Linked DNA regions of Elephas maximus indicus. The protein of the gene in region 2 interacts with the protein of the main gene of each other region in a biochemical or structural test. Links are inferred from orthologs where the notes say so. Each region holds a gene or a part of one and is shown on either strand. Other genes may lie near its edges. The genes, in order: MAP2K4 and MAP3K1.

Region 1 (8,022 bases), on a different chromosome or scaffold from region 2:
TTATGCTAAAGGAAATGCTCAAATGATGAAAATATGGTGAAAGGAACACAGTAGAGTGAAGTGTAAGGCCCTGTAATACTGAAGCTACATAAAGTGGTAGATGATGAGGGACAGTGACTCATCTACTAATAATCAATGAGACCGTTACCACTAATAGCACTGCTGACAGCTAACATCTATTCCATCTTCACCATGAAAGACCCCATACTCTACATTCATCCTCATATCATCTATGAGGTAAGGATTATTCCCTCTTTCCAAATGAAAAACTGTGGCTTCAAGGTAAGTAACCTGCACAAGATCACAAAAATCTTAAATTGTGGTAAGGGGATTCAAACCCAGGACTCTAGAGCTCAGGCTCTTAAGCCTTAGGATATTAAGAAAACAACGTTTCACACTTTGGACCACCCTTGCCACAAACTTCAAGCCATGAAAAAGCGTGGAAGGTTGTCCAATGCCTAGGAAATGCTTATCCCACAGGAGGACCTCCGGTGCCTATTAAATGAAATATACTCCATGTGTCCCACAGCTGAATCCTGCTGTTTGCAAGAGCATGGTCAATAACAGCTTCCAGGAAGGTGGTTTCCTGAGGTGGCAAGTAGAAGCCAACTGGAGGGAGCGGAAGCAGGCGGTTAGGCAGTACACCAACACCTTCTAAGGACCACTCTCTGTGAAGTCTAATCGAAAGCCAAGAAAGGTCTTTGGAAGATGAAGTATGGGAGGTTTAGGTATAATATAACAAAATAAACAGAAAACAGAGATCCTGAACTGCTGCTTAAGCTCGAGTTTTATATCCTGAGAATTTCAAGTAATTCTCTTCATTCTGAGTAACCAAAAGAGGCTCAAGAACAAGATATAAACTGAATCAATCAAGGTTAGACACAGTCCTGATACAATTAAACTAATTCAGAGACAAATGAAAGAGGGATGCTATGCTCTCCCTTTTAAGATGGATTCTGGGTATTAAGACATAGGGGAAGGAGAGGAGAATGAGGAGCATCAGAACAACTAACCGCAACCACTTTCTCTGAGTTCCTAGCACACTCCAAGCTCTGTCCTGTTTGGGAATCATCACGTACACTGTGCCCTCCATTGAGATGCTCTTCTGGTAGAAGAGGGTCGGCTTTTCAGACAGGCCTTCCCTGAATATCTTCTCAGAGCTGAATGCCCTTACCCCCATTACTTTCTACCCAGTTTGCTACCTTCATAACACTTTCTCAAATTGTAATTCTTCTTATTTACCTGCATATCGTCTTCCCTCCCCCATTCTCATGGGAAGGTAAGCCCCATCAGGGGTGAGACCCTCTAATACACTCTCCTCTGAACACCCAGTACTACAGTTCTATGCCTGGCACCTAGCAGATGTTCAATAAATAATTTTTGAACAAAAATACAAATGTATACAGCTTTTTCAAACTGTCACCTCCTGCTGTCCGGGGGAAAAAAAAAAGCTTGCATGATTTTTATAAGTCACCCTTTTTGGACCAACAACACAGTCCTCAATTGTCATTTTGCTGTTTCATTTTCCCCCACCACCTGGACTGTGAAGCTGTGAGATCCGGAACCCACCCTGGACTTCATCTGTATACTGTGCTGTGCAAAACCGTGGCCATTCAATAACCAATTCAATCTGAATTAACTTATGGCCTGCACAAAGTGTCCTCTGAGCGCTGACGTCATCCTGTCTATATATCTATCATTGTTCCTTATGTATATTAAAATTACCTCATGGGCAAGGTGGTGCGGATAGAAAGATGAATAAAATCCTGTCTCTCCTTCCTGAATCTCACACACACACACTCATAAACACGAAATATTCAATTCAAGGGACAGCCCCTGGAGCCCTTTAAGAAGTTCAACCAAAGAGCAGCCAGGGTCACACTGACTACCAAGGGTACCCCCTAATGACTCTACTCATAATTCAATACAAGCAGTTTGCTAAAGTTGTCAAGAGATTTCCGACACTCGCTATTTTAAAAATAGCATTCCTACTCCAAATTCCCCAGTAAGCTTAAGGAAATGGTCCCTAGTGGGCTGGGGCCTGGTAAGTGTATTTTCACAGCACCCCCTGTCAAGGGCCACACCGAGCTAATAAGCATTCCCGGTGGGAAAGCCATTAAGTAGGAAGGCTGCCTCGGCTGTCCAGACACTACACAGTACCAGCTTGACCCCTGCTTGTTTCCGGTATCTCTCCATTGACACCGAATTCACCTTTTTTTTTTTTTCCTGCATGCAGGGCGAACACAGAAATCCCTCCACAGCCTGGTACACACGGGCTCCCCCAGGCCAGGGCTGTCCCAGCACCTTACAGGTGGCCCAGGCCTGAGCAATCCTCAGCCCCTCCCAGCGCCCAGAAACCTGCAGAAGTTGGCCAACGCCGGTTCCGACAGGCCCGCGCGGCCCAGGGGTCAGGTCGGCGGGCCGGCGGCAGCCGTGCCCCGCGGAGAACCAGGGCGGCCCGGCCGGGGCCCCACTGCCTACCTGCCCGCGCGCGGCGGGGACCGGAGCGAGGAGCGAGGAGCGAGGAGCGAGGCGAGCAGCGAGGCCCGCCCGCCGCCGCCCGCCCGCCGCCCGCGCCCCGGCCCGCAGGTCCCGGAAGCCGGCCGGCCGGCGGCCAGGTAAGCGGCGGCCGCGAGCGGGGCGGCTCCCGGGCCAGGTGGGCCCCGCGGGCCGGCGGAAGGGCCGGCAGGGCCGGGCGGCCGGGCGCCGCGGGAGGCCGCGGCCGGGGCCTGCGCGGCCGGGGCCCGGATGCTGGGCGGCCCGGAGGCGGCCGGGAGCGGCGGGAAGCCGGGGAGGGAGGGCGCGCGGCGCGGGACCTCGGCGGCTTCCTCAGCCCGGGCCGGGGGTGTGCGCGGCCGCCGGGACAGGCCGCGACGGCGCCGACGGCCGCGCCAGGGGGCAGGGGTCTCGGCGGGCCGCGCTCCTTACCCTGCATGCTGCTGACGGCCGGCTGCCCCGGCGCCGGGGGCCCTATGGAGCCCGGGGCGCCGCTGCCGCTGCCGCTGCCGCCCCCGGAGCCGCCGCCGCCGCTCGGGCTCGGAGCCGCCATTGTTGGGAGTGAGGAGCCCAGCGGCGCCGCGGCGGCTGCAATGCAGCAAGTCGGCCTCTCGCACGGCCGAGGGGCGGGGCCAGCGCCTCCTCGGCCCCGCCCCCGGCGCGGCTCGGCCCCGCCCCGGACACGCCTCGGCCCCGCCCCCGGCACGCCCCCGCCCCCGGCCTGACGCGGAGCCCGCGCCGCTGGGAAACTGCAGAGCCGCCCAGGTCTGGAGGACTGGACCCGACAGGCAGGCAGGGATCCCGGCCCTGGGCCGCGCGCGGGCCCGCAGGGTCTAAAAGTAGTCTGCAGAATTATGAGTGTGTGTGCGTTGGGCGGGCGGGCGGGGTAAGAGGATACATCGCTTTCATCATTCCCGCAGAGGTCTGTGACCCCAAAAGTTTAAGAACCCCCTTCCTGGAATCTCAGAACTCAAAATAGTAAAGATGCAAAGGATCCCAAGAGTCGTGCTTCTTGTCCAGTCTCTGACACGGCACATCCAGAGAGGATCGGCTATGGGTATGGTTCCAGTCTGGAATTCCTGTTAGGCCATACCTAACACCCCAACTTTCTACACTGCCCTGGGGCGTGAGAGGGGCTGCTACTCAAAGTGCTGTCCATCCCAAATCTACTGAATCAGAATCTACATTTTAGTGCTATCCCCAGGTAACCTGTATGCACATTAAATTTGGGAAGCAGTATCTCAAGCACTCAACACTCCCTTGCTGTTAGTTGTTGTAGAGTCAGTTCCGGCTCAAGGTGACCCCATGGGTGCAGAGCAGAACTGCTTTGTAGGGTTTTCAAGGCTGTGACCTTTCGGAAGCAGATTGCCAGGCTTGTCTTCCAAGATACATCTGGATGGGTTCGAACCAACAACTTTTTGGCTATACAGCTCCCTGGCCCTCCAAAATATACTACCTATGTCATCATCCCCCCCTCAACAAGTGCCAGACTCCCTTCCCCCAACCCCTCTACATCTTACAAGGCCAGCCATAGTCAATATTATAAATTACATAAAATGACACCCAAACAAAAAAAAAAAAAACAGATTTCTGCCAGTGCTTTGCACAGAGCATTTTGATTTTAGTAAGGCAGCAGCTTAAAGCAGAGAAAGAGTCCTCTCTGAGGCTGGAGTGTTGTCAGCCAATGGAAATGTAATTGGGGTGGTGAGACAGGTTTAAGGGCAGAAATATGTCTTGCCTGTAACAGAATGACCAACTTTACTGCACACCAAGGGATCTATACCACGTAGCCGGATGTTCCCTGCCCTTTGGAAGCATTGCACAATCTATTCCAGAACCTCCTTCTTGAACTCCTTCCACCCAGATCTTATCTGATGCTGGAGTTTCCTGTAGCATGTTGGAAATGTATCCTAGGTCGCTCCAGCCCCAACCTCAGCCATCACCTTGACTGCCCAAATCTTAACACTGGCTAGAGATAGGAGATACAAAAAAATCCAAACCCACTCCTGGGGAGTCCATTCTGACTCATAGTGACCCTACAGGACAAAGTAGAACTGCCCCGTAGGATTTCCAAGGCAGCGAATCTTTACAGAAGCAGACTGCTACATCTTTTCCCATGGAATGAATGGTGGGTTTGAACCACCAACCTTTTAGTTAGCAGCTGAGTGCTCTAACCACTGTTCCACCAGGGCTCCTTAGAGACAGGAGATAGAGGAAGTAAACTAGAGAGGCAATAAAGCCAAATAGAAGGTGAGAGCACATTGGTGTGCTTAGAGAGCCGGCCGCATTCCAGTCTGCCAGAATTCTCCTCCAGAGGCCAGGCTGATGGAGCAATATCTCCAGGACAGGGTCACCATGAACACTTGCCAAATCACCATCTGAGAATCAGTATCCCACCTTGCTCCTGTTGGTCCCGGAGTGTCCTAAATAAATGTCAGTTTCTTGAAGGGGAAATCTTACCAAAGTCCAAAAAGAAATGTTTGCATACAGGCTGTCCAGCTAAGAATACAGGTTAAATATTCTGTCTGTATCCTCTGGATACTGCTGATGGGAAGAGAAACAACAAACAACAAAGGAAAGAAGAAGCCGTGGCTCTCTAACATTCTGTCCTTTTAAGGCATAAACCTTGTTTTTTTTGTTTTTTTGAGCTTATGTTCAAATACCTGGCGGAGTTGGTATGAAAAAACAAATGGGATATTTCTTTCAAAACATTAACACATCAAACACATGTGGTCAATTGATTTTCAACACGTTGCCAAGAACATTCAATGGTGAAAGAATGGTCTGTTCGATAAATGGTGCTGGGATTACTGGATTTCCACATGCAAAAGAATGAAGCTTGACCTCTACATCACCCCATACTAAAAAATTAACTCAAAATGAATCAACGACCTTAATATAGGAGGTAAAACTGTAACACTCTTAGAAGGAAACATAGGAGTAAACTCTTCATGACCTCTGATTGGGCAATGGATTCTTAGATATAAAGCATGAACAAGAAAAAATAAATAAATTAGACTTCATAATAATCAAAAACTTTTGTTTTTCTAATGGCATTCTCAAGAAAGGGAAATAACCTACAGAATGGAAGAAAATATTCGGAAATCATCTATCCGATAAGGGTTTAGTATCAGTAATATATAAAGAACTCTTACATTCAACAACAAAAACACAACTCAAAAACGGAGCAAAGGACTTGAGTAGACGTTTCTACAAAGAAGATACACAAATGGTTAATAAGCACATGGAAAGATATTGAAGATCATTGGTCACTAAGGAAATAAGGAAATGCAAGTCAAAACCACAGTTAGATAACATTTCACACCAAGTATGTTGGCTTTAATCAAGAAAACAAAAAACAACAAGCATTGGCAAGGATGTGCAGAAATAGAAACCTAGTCCATTGCTGGTGGGAATGTAAAATGGTGTAGCCACTTTGGAAAACTGTTTGGCGGTTCCTCAAAAAGTTAAACATAGACTTACCATATGACCCAGAAATTCCACTCTTAAATATATGCCCAAAAGAAATGAAAACACATGTACACAGGGAAACCTGTGCACAAATATTTGTAGCAGGATTATTCATAACAGCCAAAATGTGCATCAGCGGATGAGTAGATAAACAAATTGTGACATATGCATACAATGAAATATTCAGTCGTAACAGGGAACAGAGTGCTGATACATGCTACAACTTAGATGAACCTTGAGAGCTTTATGCTGAATGAAAGAAGCCAGACAAAAAAGATCACATGGTGTATGATTCCTTTTTATGATACATCCAGAATAGGCAAATCCATAGAGACAGAGAGCCAATTAGTTACTGGGGGTGGGCAAAGGGGAAATGAGGAGTGGCTACTGAATGGGCACAGAGGGGTTTTTTATGGGGTGATGAAAAAGTTTAGAAACTAGAAAGAGTTGGTGGTTGCACAGCACTGCGAATGCACTAAATACTGCTGGATTGTACACTTTACAATGATTAACTGTATGTTGTGTGAATTTCACCTCAATAAAAAACTAAACCGAAAGAAATCCACACAACATGGCAGTGATTAGAAAATACGGATGCAGGAAAATAGGGGAATCCCTCCCCTCCCCCAATACAATACGTGTGTATTTCCCTTGGCTTAGCCATTTTGGCATGAAGGGAAAAGGCATCAAGAGCACCATACTTTGCTGGCAAATGTCCCAAATGTAGTATCCTGTCATCACCAGGCTCCAGATGCAGGATGACTCGACTTCACACAGTTCTATTGGAGCGATTTTCCTACACTTTATTTCAGTACCTGCCAGTAGGACTCCCAGCCAGTTCCTGTTATCTAAATGTCACTGTTGAGTATGACTGTGTCATCTCACTTCTCCTTTCCAGTTCCTTTGGGATTAGAGGAATGCCAAGAAAAGGCTTGGAGAAGTTTTATTCTCCACACCCCCATAAGAACCACTAACATCCCACACCCATTTTTTTATGTGAAAAACTAATATAGCCACAGTCTTATGGAAAGTGCTACACGCTCCCTTTTCCAATTATGTGTATTTCTTTATTAGAAACTCTAGAGGCAATACTAGAGATTAGGCCATTACTAAAAAATAAAGAACATATTATTTTCCTGTATTGTTTTAGATTATGTAAAGGTTACATTTAAGATTTTCCTAAAGAGGTTTAATCAAGTCAGAAAACACTGACCTGATGATATGGTTGGATGGACACAAATAAGAAAACCATGTAAGCAACAAATAAACCTAAGGGAAAACATTCCAGCTAGCAAATTCATTGAGGAAAGTTGAATGAAAATGGCAATATACAACCAGTTAGGGTTTTTGTTTAATAATACCTGATGCTGGCACGTTTGTGATAAAACCGAGATAACACTTGCATTGCTGTTGGCATTGAAAACTGGTGGATAGGAACCAGGATAACAACCACTAATTATGACTGAATATGGGCCAAAACAAAGACCGAGAGAGAGAAAGGACTATGAGCTGTTCACACTAATGAAGCTGTGCACTTCCTACTTTTCTTTTTTAATTGTGCTCTAAGTGGAAGTTTGGAAATCAAGTCAGTCTCTCATATAAAAATTTATATACACATTGTTATATACTCCTAGTTGCTCTCCCCCTAATGAGATGGCACACTCCTCCTCTCTACCCTGTATTCCCTGCGTCCATTCAGCCAGCTTCCGTCCCCCTCTGCCCTCTCATCTTCCCTCCAGACAGGAAATGCCAACATAGTCTCATGTGCCTACTTGAGCCAAGAAGCTCACTCTTCACCAGTATCATTTTCTATCCCACAGTCCAGTCCAATCCCTGTCTGAAGAGTTGGCTTTGGGAATGGTTCCTGTCTTGCGCTACCAGAAGGTTTGGGACCATGACCTCCGGGGTCCTTCTAGTCTCAGTCAGACCATTAAGTCTGGTCTTTTTATGAGAATTTGAGGTCTGCATCCCACTGCTCTGCTGCTCTATCTGGGATTTTCTGCTGTGTTCCCTGTCAGGGCAGTCATTGGTTGTAGCCAGGCACCATCTAGTTCT
Region 2 (7,674 bases):
TTTCAGTTATTACTCTGAAAAAGAGGGCCAGATTTTAAATCTCCAATTTTAAAAATTACTGTTATTTATATAATTTATACCTCACAAGTGTATTTTCTACAATTTTAATTTCTACATTCAACATAAAAAAGTTAAAAAAAAAACTAAGGGGAATTCTCAAATTGAAATCATAGAATTAATAAAAAAAAAAATAGGTCTTTAGACAGAAGAGGTCTTTAGACCCCTACTCCTACTCGAACATAAAAATATTTCAAAATCTCACTGTCTGATTTTCCTCCTGAACATATGAAACTATTGTCAACAAGTATAATGCAAAGCTCAATTCAAGTTTTATTGAACTACTTATACTCAGTGTTTATACCAAGAGACTGAAATGAATTTCAACCCCAATTGCCAAAGAAGTTAGAAAAATCATCGTATTTTAAAAAGACAGGGAATCAACACTTAATTATAAAGGAAATAATTACTTTTATATGTGGGATGAGCCAAAAGCTTTCTGGCTAATGAAAGTCATTAAAAAAAAAAAAAAGGTTATGCAAACTAGTCTATTATATCATATACTGTGCAATTTATAATCCGCCCCTTAAACAAAGAGGAGAAAAAAACCTAGGTTATAAAACACAAAAACTAAGCATGGATTTATTCAGTCCCTGAATTCTATCTGCCTCCACTTTAGTTCTCTTATTTTGTGTCAAAAGACCATACCAAACAACTTCTATGTGTTATCTTAACAGTGGCTGCCCTTATACTATATTCATAGCTTTTTTTTTTCCACCTTAGTTCTCTTATTTTGTGTCAGAAGACCATACCAAACAACTTCTATGTGTTATCTTAACAGTGGCTGCCCTTATACTATATTCATAGCTCAATGAGAAGACCAGAATGCTGATATTTACTAAATCATTTATTGCATCCAAAGAGTTATGTATCATGAGTATAGGTAAAACTAATTTCTCACATTTGCCTTCAAAGAATTTTTCCAGTTAAGTTTTTGTCCAATGTGCATAGAAATAGAAAACTGTAAAGGAATATAACTCTTGTAAAACTAAGTTACATGTACAAGTGCACACAAAAAACTATCACAGTCACAATCTCCTTTTGTTTCAATACTGCCATGGTAAAGTCTATTTTTTTTTCTTAGTTTTTATTTATTTTCAGGGGAGGGAGCGACATCCAAGTAATAAATGAACTGTAGTTTTAAACAAATAATCTCACAAAAAAGTACCAAATCACTTCAGATAATGAACCAAAACTAAGATTTCCACTGTCAAATTAGTCTCACAAGAAACACAAACCTAAGTTACACACTCTTTAAAATACTCACAACAAGGGTCAGGGAATTCTACAGGGCAAAGGGTGACCATCACAAAACCATTTCCAGCAACTCAAAATACACCATCAAGACTTTGTGCTTTGTATACGTTAGCCAGATTAAAAAAAAAAAAAAAGATTATAGCTGTCATATTTATTTGAATTTCCTTTAACATAAAAAACCCCAGCTGCGAAAAAAGGGTCAGGCCACGAATCGCTCCTCTGAGTTACACTGCACGTATGTATCGTACTGCATAAGCCCCACAGGTCTGTCTTAGCTGAGCCGACAGCTCTGTACAAAACCCCCAAAAAAACCCTGGAATTCGGCAGTCGGCCGACGCAGCTGCACAGAGCAGGAAGCACCGCACCCGCGCCGCGCTCCCGAACCACGCCGGAGGAACTGCGGGGAGCAGTCACCACCGCTTTGAAATTGAACGGCTGACACATCCGGTCGGGTCTCTTACACCACTCAGCCAAATGCAAACTTCAAAGACCAAATTCAAACTCCAAACCGAAGTCGCTCTAGTCTTCTCCGTGCAGTTCGCATTCCCAAGTACTCTCGGAGCCCCTTTGGGGGGGACGCAATTAGAAAACCCCAATTTCGAAAAGACTGCAAGTCCCACGAGTTTGCAGTCTATCTGTCCGCACCGCTTTGACAGGCGTTACCGAGCCGTCCCCCGGGAATCCCCTACTGCCGGCTCTTGGGGCGCGCCGCGGCATCCGGGCCCGGCCCCCGATACCTGCCTCAGGACTCGAGCTCCAGGCGGGCGGAGGGGCTCGGCCTGTCACGGCCGCAGAGACCTCGTCGCTTTCTCTTCTGTCCTCTCGCCCTCGCCCCGGCCTCCGGTTGGGGCTCCCCACCCACCCCGCCCCTTTGCCGACCACCGCCCGCCGGCCGGCTCCGGCCTCGCCCCCCGTCCCCGAGACTCCGTTCCTGGCGCGCCGCCACCTGGTTGCCCCCTGCCCCCTGGGTCCGGCCCCAAATTGCCCTGAGGGCAGCGCCGGGGTCTCAAGCCCCGGCTCCTCGGAGAGCACGGATTCCCAGAGCCCCAGAGCTAGCCAGGGCCTCCACACCTTTTCGCAACGGGTCCCGCAGACGGGTTGGCACGTCTGTCACATGTCTACAAACAATAACAAACTCCCCGGCACTTCCCCGCCCCGGGACCCCGTCCAACCCCTAGGCCGGGTCCGGGGCGCCGCCCGACGCCGGGAGGAGGTCTGAGAGGGTGCCCGGGGGGTGCGGGGGTTCGGACCCCGGCAAGCGGCGCGCAGTATCCCAGAACGCGGCCCCAGGACGCTGCGCACGGTACCCGGGGTTCATTCATTGCCCTCTGCCTACAACCAAAGTTCTCTCCGCGCCCCCGGCGGTGCTACTCACCCGGTGGGGGCCGCTGCAGGAGACGGCTCGGCGGCGGACGCTCGCTTCTCCCCGGGCTCGGCCCCTGCGAGGTTCGGGGCGCCGCTGTCCGAAGCGGCCACTAGCTCTGCAGGCTGGGCGCCGCAGCGGCTCACGGCTCCGTGGGGCGGCGGCACCGCCAGAGGCTGGAAACCGCTCCCGCCCGCTGCCGAGTCCGCGGGCTCCGGCGACGGGGAAGTTGAGGAGGACGGCGGAGAAGCGGCGAGGAAGATCGGCGGCTCGGGCAGCCGGTCCAGCTCCACACTCCGCACTTTGCGCAGCTGCCGCCGCCGCCACTCCGCCCGCTCGCGGCCCCCGCTGCCCGCCTCCCGCAGGAGCCCCGCGGCTGCCGCGGGCACGCTGCTCGCCTTCAGGGGCCCTCTGCCGCCGCCCGCCTCGGGGCTCACCGCCCCGGCGCCCGGGAATCCCGACGACGAGGCGCGATTCCCCGCCGCCGCCGCCATTTTCTCTCGCGGGCTACATTCGCTCGGCCCCCGAGAGGGAGGGAGGGGGCGGGGAGAGCGCAGGGGGCGGGCGGACCGGCGGGCGCTGCGCCGCCAGCGTAGAACTGCCTGCGCCAACTGCGTGAGCGTGGCCCGCCGGGCTCTGCCCGGGACAGACGGGCGGGCGGGGGCGCGGGGTTTGGCCGGAGGCGGAGGGCGGGTCGGCGGGGGCGGCGGCGCAGCAGGTTGGGGGGAGTGGGCTGCGCGCTCGGCGGGGCGGGCGGGCCGGCGCCGTGGACTCGGACGTGGCGGCGGTGGAACTTCCTGGACTCTGCGTGCTGCGCCCGCCGCGCCGCCAGGTAGTCGCGGGCCTCACCGGCCACAGGAGGTGCCGGAGTGGCAGCATCGCGCCGCTTCGTGTCTGCTGCAATCTCGGCTCGGCCCACCGGGAGCTCGCCCTACTGAAGTTGCAGCTTCCGAAATAAATAATTAGTTGGAATGTGTGCGTGTGATGCGTGGAAGGGGATGTTGGGGAGGAGATTTGCAGTCTTGTCATTCACACTGCCCTTTGCAGTGGCGTCGGGAGACCCGGGCGCGGGCCAAGCCCCATCCTGCCCGCTCCGCGCGCGACGCGCAGGTGGCGCCGGGGGTGTTGCCTGCTGCAAAGCGAAAGAAACCCAACGTTCAGTGGACGTGCTGCTGCGGACCAAAAACAAAGTTTTTTTTTGAAGAAATTTTTCCTCTTCTTTTGTCCCCCGCCCCTCGTGCTACAAATAATCAAAACTTCAAAGTTTCTTGGAATACCGTGTTTACATCCTGAAGTCGTTGGTTTCAGACAGCCCTTGTCTCCCCAGTACCACTTGGCTATGGAGACACATGGATGTCCTGAGGAGCTTTGTTTTTTCCTCGGCTCTGACTTTGGAAAGGGCACAGAACCAGATAGAGCACCTTTGGGGAAGGAACCTACGCTGTGCAGGAAGTGCTCGATAATGTCATCCTCAGCCTGGCCCTGGCCCTCCCCAAACCCGACGCCCCTCGCTGCACGTCCCTCTTCCTGGCGGGGTCGGGCGATGGTCCCAGGTGCCTCCACCCCCACCCCCATCCCCATCCCCCGCAGTACCCGGTTGCCAAACGCGGTGTTTTGAACCCCTGGATCCCTGGGGAGCTGCTGGATGGGTCTAGCAACAGTAACATCCCTGGGGAGAGTCTGCCGTAAGGTGCTTTGGGATAGAAAAAGGTTCATTTGCATGTTAATGATTTTCGACCTTTGTTCAGCCGGGTAGAGTTGTGTTGCGTTTCTCTTAAGTTGGTTTGTCTGTGATGGGAAATCTCCCAGAAGACAGGAGCAGCGTCTCTAGGTATATTTTGAGAAACACTAAATAATGGTAATTTATTTTAATGCGGGGGGAGGGGGCTTCCCACGCAGAGAAAGGAGAGAGCTATCTTGTCTGTCTTCATAATATTTAGACGAAAGCCTGAACTATGCATGGCCTGGACTGAACTATCCATGTAATAATTCCTTTCATTTCTTGATACAATTAAAACCCCCTTTCTAGGTATGTTACCTGAGGAGCAAGGTGATAGTGGAGGGAGTTTTTAAGGGTCTTGATTTCATATTAGTTCACTGTTTTTAATACTGGTACAACACCTGCCATCAGACAGTTTTAGATAATTACATCCAACGGTACAAATTTTGAAAGTTTAGATAAATCTGTTAAAATTTTAAGTCTACGTTTAGCCTATAATTATATGCTCTTTTAACGATAGCCAAGTGTATCATCCAAACCAAACAGTAGTTACTTCCCTGATCTTCCCGGATTGCCACACCCACTAAATTGAAAAGAATAAACTTTCCACTTCCCTATTTAGATCTAAAAACCTTTACATTTACACACACACACACACACACACACGCACGCACACACACACGGTCAGGTACCTGTGAGAAAAGTTCGGTGGAGCCAGGAACCTTTCAAAATAGGAACAATTTTGAAGCTTGATCAGAGTAGCTAAAATAAAACAGGATTCCAGCAGACTTTGCCTTTGCCCACTAATTCATCCAAAGGGATTCAAACTTGGGACCAAAGACAGATGGGAACAAAAACAGCACTATCAGTCAGCTACATTCTCTGACCTCCTCTATCCACCATACACTGCCACTAGAAACCTGAGAGCTGGATAGTTTTTGGCATTTTGAGTAATTTTCCCCTTAATCTTTTATGTAAATATTCGGATTGCCATTATGCATCTACACACCGGCCTGCTGATTTCTCGCTCTCGCTCTCGCTCTTTTTTTTTTTTCTTTAAGAGAGAAAACTAACCAAAGGACATGCTCGATTGGAAAAGAGTGTTCTCCTTCGGCGGAAAGTTAATATAAAATCTTCTTCGCGGAGAATCCAGCTGCAAGGAATTATTACCGTAGTTTCTGAGTCTTAAGCACGGATAAGATTGTAAATGCTAGTTTTGGTGCTGCTGTGTCATGTTTTTTTTATTACTGCAGAGATTCATATGTCAAATATCAAGCTAATGTATACTCTGAATTGCTTTAATTTGATTTCTTTAATGACTTAACGGAGACTCAGGTCTCTTCAAAGGTCGCTTCTGGAACTGAAAACTCCAGTTACTGTTTTCAAGCTCCTTATTTCCATCTTCACTGGAGGATACAAACCTTGCCGTGATTTCATTTATGCCACGACAGTTTCTGTAGCCTTTATGTGAGTGCTTTACAGATCACTGCTTTCACATAGTGCTTCTGGGAATCACCTAAGTCACACTTCAGTTGCTACATCATGTTCATTTGGAGAAACCAGTTTAATATTGGTGTATTTCCTCGTTGTACACAAATATCACTAACATTAGAATGAAGAGACTTAGTATGCAATGGCAGAAATATATCAGCTTGTATTTCATTCATCATATATTTATTAAGCACCTGATATTCACATGCAAGGAGTTTTCTCCTCTAAGGATATTGTTTGTTGTTTTTCATATTTACAAAAAAATAATTAAATATTCCCATCTATAATTGTTTTTATTAGTGGGTATTTATTGGACTGATTCTGATTTAGAATTTAAGATCCATCAGTGTGTATACACGTATTCACACTTGCGTGAGTTATAAAAAAAAATCTTAGATGGCTATAAAAAGTAAGAATGTAACCTTGAGAATAGGACAAAAGCTGGTGTTCCTCCAGGCTTTATAAATATTTATTAGGGAGCAGGAGAGCTGGGGTTAGATCTTGGTTTTGCCATGTTCTTCCCAGATACCACATTTGCCAGGTGTTTCCAGATGTTTTAGTCAGGAAACTGCTATCTGTGGATTACTGGTTCCACTACAAGGGCACTGCAGGTGACATAATTGTAGAAAGTTTTTAACTAGCCTCTACTTACCTGACTCATCAGTAACAGTTGCTTGTCGTTCTCTGTGTATGACATGCTGAGGAATGCCACTGCACAATGAATGTTCATGGTCAGTGGCTGGTGTGCACCTGCCCACTTCTGCTCCCGGCAGGTGAATTATGGTCCCTGGGAGAGTCTGTTGTGTTTATTCTCGAACCTGATTATACCTATCATAACTTTGCTTAGGAAATTTAATTAAATATTATTAAACGGATTATTAAATTAATGCAACATGAGTATGTAAGTGCAAAAAGAAAACTGTACCAATAAAAATTAAGTTAAATATTTTGAAAGAATGAATGAAGGCCAGTCATTGAAAAAAATATCTTCAAGTTAGTTGCAGTTGTGATGATTGTAAAAAAGTGGGAAAAAAGCATTCAAATCTAAAAAAAAAAATTACTTTGCAGGTATTTTTCAGTTCTCACTTTAAAGAAACTGAAACTGGAAACTGTAGGCAATGCAATATGTGAGCAAGATAAATAGAACAGTGGACCCACACTCAAAAGACCAAGGCCCTAGAGTCGAATACTTGGAAAAAACAAAAACCCCAAACCAAACCAAAGGAAAGCCTTTATATGTTTTAAGCTTAAGTAAAGTATTTTAAATAAATATATGTTTTTATGATTCCCTTTTATTAAACAACCATCTAAACATTTTGCATTTATTTGCATGTACTTGAAATTAGAAACTAAATTTTGTAGTAAATAAGTAAAACAGTTGAATTGGGATTTTATATTAACAAATAAAACCACAATTTATTAAGATTGCTCTGTCTAATATTAGCAAAAATCTGCTTATCTTTACAACTCTGCTCTAATTTTTTCAATTCTTTGAATGAGCCACGTTGATTGCTGTTTTTTGATATATGACAAGATATTCTTTGTTGGTTTGACCTTTGTGGCTTAATCATGACTATAATCTGTGCAAAAATATTCAAAGACCTCAGACATTTTCTCAAGGACCTCCTATAATATTCGAATTACTCTCTTTGGATTAGCGTCCTTGCCAGTTTTATCTTCCTTTATGATTCACTGAATCCTATGTAGACAAGGCTTTGTTTGTGAACCAAGCGGTTCAGTACCACTTCCATTGGCTTTGTGAACTTTTGTGGCTTAATTATGACTA

Evidence for each region.
Region 1: of the proteins of MAP3K1 (region 2) and MAP2K4, one has a biochemical effect on the other in vitro, tested with the Homo sapiens proteins (7 studies listed by BioGRID and IntAct, with this or other methods). The link is inferred for Elephas maximus indicus from reciprocal best matches to the Homo sapiens genes MAP3K1 and MAP2K4.

What each region holds. Positions count from the first base shown.
Region 1 is NC_064837.1:7,841,996-7,850,017, forward strand, and holds the start of MAP2K4 (dual specificity mitogen-activated protein kinase kinase 4), read right to left. Parts: upstream 3,096-8,022; 5' UTR 3,050-3,095; coding exon 2,929-3,049; intron 2,619-2,928; exon of another isoform or gene 2,552-2,618; intron 1-2,551. UniProt on the Homo sapiens protein: Dual specificity protein kinase which acts as an essential component of the MAP kinase signal transduction pathway. Essential component of the stress-activated protein kinase/c-Jun N-terminal kinase (SAP/JNK) signaling pathway.
Region 2 is NC_064820.1:60,718,523-60,726,196, reverse strand, and holds the start of MAP3K1 (mitogen-activated protein kinase kinase kinase 1), read right to left. Parts: upstream 3,208-7,674; 5' UTR 3,172-3,207; coding exon 2,690-3,171; intron 2,684-2,689; exon of another isoform or gene 2,386-2,683; intron 2,163-2,385; exon of another isoform or gene 2,056-2,162; intron 1-2,055. UniProt on the Homo sapiens protein: Component of a protein kinase signal transduction cascade. Activates the ERK and JNK kinase pathways by phosphorylation of MAP2K1 and MAP2K4. May phosphorylate the MAPK8/JNK1 kinase.